Saccharomyces cerevisiae S288C: one gene and its partner. The protein of the gene in region 1 interacts with the protein of each later gene in a biochemical or structural test. Each region holds a gene or a part of one and is shown on either strand. Other genes may lie near its edges.

Region 1 (2,797 bases):
TGGACTTGAATCATGATCCTCTCAAACAGCGTCTGCATCCTGCAGAACTAGTTCTCGCACAGATTCTGAGACTTCCATGTGATCTTTATTTGGACTCTAAAAGAAGATTTTTCTTGGAAAAAGTTCATAGATTCAAAAAGGGGTTGCCGTTCAGGAGAACGGATGCTCAAAAGGCTTGTAGAATAGACGTTAATAAAGCATCAAGGCTATTTGCAGCATTTGAAAAGGTAGGTTGGTTACAAGATAAACATTTTGAAAAGTATTTGTAAGAAAGAGGCGGTACGCCTTTGGGATAGCGTATCGTTTCATCGTTTAAACGAGCAAATTTGATAAGTACGGAATATGACAGTCTCATTGAGTAATACAGAATTGAGGCGTTTAAATGGTTATGGTTAAGGGTTACGGTTACGGTTTTTTATTCTTAGAACACATTTGATATATTTTTATTTATGGTTTTTTACATATAGATTTCGTTCATATATGAGGTTTTCTTTTTATATTAATTATATTTCTTCGGTTGTTACGTTATCAATTTTGTTATTGAATTATTACGGGTTATGAACGCCGTAGAAAAATAGCATTGGAGTTTGAGAGTCTGTGGCTTTTCTGTCACATCATTTTTTCGTCTAACTTAGGTTAACTCAGTAATCGTCGATTTCTTCATAACAGGCCAGGACCTTTTTTCTGTATTCCTCCATATCTGCATCCCAAAGTTCTGCTGCCACAGCGTTCAGCGGAGATCTGTTATTTGGTTCGCCAAGTAATGACTGCAATGACAATAGAATTGTTTCTACATTATACACTGCAGACCATTTCTCTTTCAGAATGTCCAAACAAATGTTGCCACTCTTATCCACGTTTGGATGCCACATTGGACTCAAAAATTTAATCATTGGCGGATGGAAAGGATAGTTTTGAGGAAACTTCAATGAAACCTTGAATTTAAGTCCACTATACGGTGTGTCTTTAGGGCCTGTAATATACCCTACCCAGTATGTTAAATCATTATCGTCTACGGGAAACGCACTAATACTTTCTGTTGTAGAACTAAGTAGCTGTAGCAGCTCATTTTGTAAACGTTTCGTCACGCAACCACCCTCTTCTACTGCCATTCTATACTAGCAAGCCTCGAATCATACAGGTTTTGTAGCACCTATAAGATGTAAAATATGAAAAATTTTTTCTGATATCTCATTTATCCAGTGTCAGAAGCATGTTTTGTGTCGCTATTAGTCAACGCTTTTTCCTTGAAAATCTCTTTCTAATAATGACATCATTAAAAAGAGTCCATTAACGTTATAAAGGAAAAATATTTCAAATTAAGCTTCATTACTGTTGATATATTGTCGAATTTGCCACGGTTTAGCTACGTATGCAGGACTATTGATTATCAGCACTGTAATAATGTACAATTATTTATATTATCCTATATCAATAACGTATATCTTTATTTGTTTTGATTTTTTCTCATTTTTCCCGTCCTAATCACTATCACTCGATTCACCATCATTGCTTTCACTGGTGTTTTCCTCGTATACGATCTCTGAACCATTATCTTCTTTTACTTCAGGTAAGTCTAGTTCCTTGTGGCTCTCTTTGTTTTCGATTGAAACTTCGTCATCAAATACAATTTTTTTGTTTGAAACTATAGGTAAACTTTCAGCTTGGGAACGAGAGCTGTTATAGCCATTGCCTTCTTCGTCGGCGTCACTTATTAATGTACCGTCCACAGAAACAACTCTTCCTGTAGTATGAACATTTCTCACTGTGAACCTCAATTTACCGTCAATGGGTTCACCATTAGAATCTACCCAGTGGCCCAAAGATCTGTTTCCAAAGGAAAATTTGCCCAAACTATTGCTTCCACCATTGCTATCCTTGTTATCTTCGTTATTATTGTTTCCATTATTTTCATCTGTGTTTATCACGTCAGCATCTTCTTCCACGTCGTTATGGACAAAGGTCCAATCCACAGGGATATTATTCTTTTTGATACTAGCATTAAACGCATCATGAATCAAAAGACCAATGTGTGAGGCGGATTGAATGAAAATGTAACCTTCCAAAACATCTCCAACTTGTGGCTGCCAAACGTATAGGTTTACATGGCACCAAGTAAATCCAAAAGGGGTATCGGGTGTGATTTTTATTAGTTTTTCTGATGTATCTTCTTTGCTTAAAGGATCAGCATCAAGAATTTTCAACCCTTCATAACCTAGCACAACACCTCCAACTTTGTTGTTATATTTCATTACTAATGGGTTCAAGTGCTGCTTCATGACACCTTGCAAGGGATTTTCTAAATACATTGGTGCCAAAGAAACATAGAGAGCAATGGGAACACGCACTATACAGTTGGAAGTTCCATTTTTCTCATCAATTGGGTTTGTAACCTGTTTTTTGTGTTTCTTGATGAACCTTGCGGTTTCGCGGTTCTCATTGGCTCTTTTTACTTGTGACATAATCCACGTTTGTCTCTTATCTTTCTGATATTATTATATATAAGCAAAAAAACGAGGGAGTGTATAACGATAGTCCCTTCGGCTCTATTTTATTGTAAACCTCCACTACATTGTCATATTTGCGATGCCATTAGTATTTTATTGCAGAAAAATTTTTTTCAAACCACCCATACACCCTCATCGGAATCTTTTCATTTCAAAGCGACAGTAATATTTTCTGTCAAGAATACACAAAGGATACACTTGCAGCTGGAATAAGCAAGATTCCACCAAGTTTCTTCTACCTGAAATACATCTATTACGGGGCCTTGATTAAAAGTAACTTAACTTCGCAG
Region 2 (2,831 bases), on another chromosome or scaffold:
CTGTATACCAATATTATAGCCTTTAGCAACAATGGAATCCCAACAATTATCTAACAACTCACATATTTCTCAAAAATAACACAATTTTATGAAAGTTCACATAATTGAGTTAGAGCTTGAAATACTCTAACTTACAATCAAATGAACACAAATCAGAAGCTTCTATGGCCAAGTTGGTAAGGCGCCACACTAGTAATGTGGAGATCATCGGTTCAAATCCGATTGGAAGCATATTTTTATGTATTCTAAGTATGCAACGATACCGCTGTCATCGTTAGCATGATTAGTACACTGTTGTTCTTTTTCAATCTAACAACCTTAACTTCAGTTCCGGCTACAGTACATCTATTCAACGATTGGAAAAGAAAATTTTTTTATCTTTAGCTGCAACAAGAAAAAATCAATATTAAATTTTCATTTAAGTATACAGAATGTTAACAGCGTTCACAAGAAAAGAACCGTATGGAAATATAGCTAATTGTGATTTCTAAGTTTCTTTTTTATCGTAACAAAAAGTCTTCGTCCAGGATGGTATCAACTTGCTGTCTACCGATTGGGTTATCGGTGTTTTGCCTTATTGGTTCATCAAAGTCCACAAACTCTTCTGCGACGCCCTCCTCTATCATTTCTTCTCTTCTTCTTGAAACTATTTCAACGAACTTTTGGACATGAGCGTCATTAATTGCTAGACCCTTCTGTAGCTGGAAAGTTTGCCTACACATCGGACACAGTCCTTTTGAGGTTGGTGTATCAAGCCAACGGTATATACAATGATCATGGAAGTTATGATGACATAGCCCAATCACTAAAGGGCATTGATCGCCTGGAAATTTACAGCTTGGACAGGTACCGTTATAACTGGCACGACAGATACCACAGACATCCTCGTCTTCATCATTGCCAATTGGATCGTTATTGGCTGCGTCCTCATCAGATGTGCTAGGGATGTGCCATGACCAAGCAAACACACTGTGCACTTCGTTTATTTTAACTTTCATATTTTTATAATCTGTATTGCCACTTTGCTTGTTAAACTCTCCCGATATTGTACAAAGTTTTTGAAGAATGCATTATTTTTTTATCTGCAGACACGGAAGATACAAAAGTTATCTCGGCAGCTTACCCTTTATATCGAATGCAGGCGTAGACAAAAGTGCGTTGCATAACTTACCAAGGTGAAGTGCATGGACCAGCAAAGGATAGAAGTTATTGTAAACATCGAAACCATAAACTTATATATGTATATATGAAGGCATTAAGCGTTTTATGTTTTCACAACCCTTTTAAGAGATGTCTTGGACAAAAAAGCTTCTTCGTTGGTGATAGCTTCTTTATTCCAACTCCGAAACGCCTTGTGCTAGGAAAACTACGCCTTTCCAACTACACTGCATTTCACGACCTAATCATTCACGACCTCTTTATTTATATATTTATTCTTAATTTTTTCTTCTTTCCTTTTTGTAACAATTTCAATTATTGGAAGGTTTTTCACGTTGCTCAACCGAGAATTTACCATCACTCCAGACTTGTAATGATTCTAAAAGTTTCCCTTGAGTGTGCAGTTTCTTGATTTCTTCATTACCTCCTCTTGATACTCCATTAACCAAAAGGTTTGGAACAGTTCCTCTACCGGTCACCAACTTGATATATTCTTGCAGCTCTTCCCCATGTCCATGTTTGTCAAGTTCTATAATATAGTAGTTTGGGATAAACTGATACTCATTTTCAAGCAGTTCCTTCATGCCCTTGCTATATGAACAGGTGCTTTTACTAAATATTATAATCGGAGACAAGTCTAGTATGAGGGAGTATTCTTTTTGAACATTAAAAGCTTTGGTTATTCGCGACCCTTTATCGTTTTTAATGGCCGACAAACTATCATCAACCGATGCTATGGGCTGTTGGAGTCCCACCTTCTGTTTTATTTCATTAATTTCTTCGTCTACTTCAGAGCTCCCCTTATTCGTGGTAGAAGTCGGCATAGCAGCATATTCCCTGGAAGATCCTCCAGCCATATTGTCCATATTAGTACTAAATGCTTTAGAAGTTTCCTCTTTTATCTCTACCGTCAAGAAGTTCGCATTTTGCGCTACGAAAAACACTAACAACAATAATAGCGTTGTAATGCTTAAAATTCTAGCATTTCTCTTATTGGAAGGTATCATAATAAAATTGTTTCTATATTAAACCGCTAGGTTGCTAAGGTTTCGTCTTTTCTATCTTACGATAATTTGCTTAAAAGTTCATTTAGAGAATAGATAGTGATCTTTCCCAGTATAATGTTTTCCCGATTTCGCGAACGCTCCGCCTCAGGCGCCCCGGGACGCGTCATGCGCGTTCCAGAAAGTTAACTAACTGCTAGTGCATTCAATTTCTCAAGGCGTAGTATTTGGGATCTATAAAGCCTTCGACATTAAGCACTATGCTTAAAAGCGAACAGCCTGCGCCACTACTTAAGAGCGAATCTTGTGTGGAGGGATGACTAGGTCCAAAGAGGGAGAAAAGGATCTTGCGGAAAAGTCAACAACACTAATCGGTAGCTGAGTCTGTCAGTGCATCCTTACTGGCTTACTATTTTCATTCATGCTGCAAGTAGATTATCCTCTAGTTAAATTAAACGCGGATGAACTACGCCATTAAATCCATCATAAGAAACTAATTACTACTTTTAGGAAATTAGCCAACTAAAAACTGCTGAAACGCCACATTTCACATAAAACCCCACGGAGCAGTAATGGGAGATCTTAAGCTCAGCCCAGTACATATGTCCATCAGCCTTGAATAGCCACGGTGAGTTCTCGAAGCTTCCTTCCACCTAGTCCAGAATATTT

Evidence for each region. Proteins that work in one complex are often made in the same cells at the same time.
Region 2: the proteins of UBC11 (region 1) and APC11 form a complex in vitro, tested with the Saccharomyces cerevisiae proteins (one study listed by BioGRID).

The regions. Positions count from the first base shown.
Region 1 is NC_001147.6:957,721-960,517, forward strand, and holds UBC11 (putative E2 ubiquitin-protein ligase UBC11), read right to left. Parts: upstream 1,113-2,797; coding exon 642-1,112; downstream 1-641. Other genes in the region: YOR338W (uncharacterized protein), read left to right, coding at 1-269; DNA-directed RNA polymerase I subunit RPA43, read right to left, coding at 1,482-2,462.
Region 2 is NC_001136.10:431,664-434,494, reverse strand, and holds APC11 (anaphase promoting complex subunit 11), read right to left. Parts: upstream 999-2,831; coding exon 501-998; downstream 1-500. Other genes in the region: YDL009C (uncharacterized protein), read left to right, coding at 1,247-1,570; glutathione-disulfide reductase GRX6, read right to left, coding at 1,470-2,165. UniProt on the Saccharomyces cerevisiae protein: Probably catalytic subunit of the anaphase promoting complex/cyclosome (APC/C), a cell cycle-regulated E3 ubiquitin-protein ligase complex that controls progression through mitosis and the G1 phase of the cell cycle.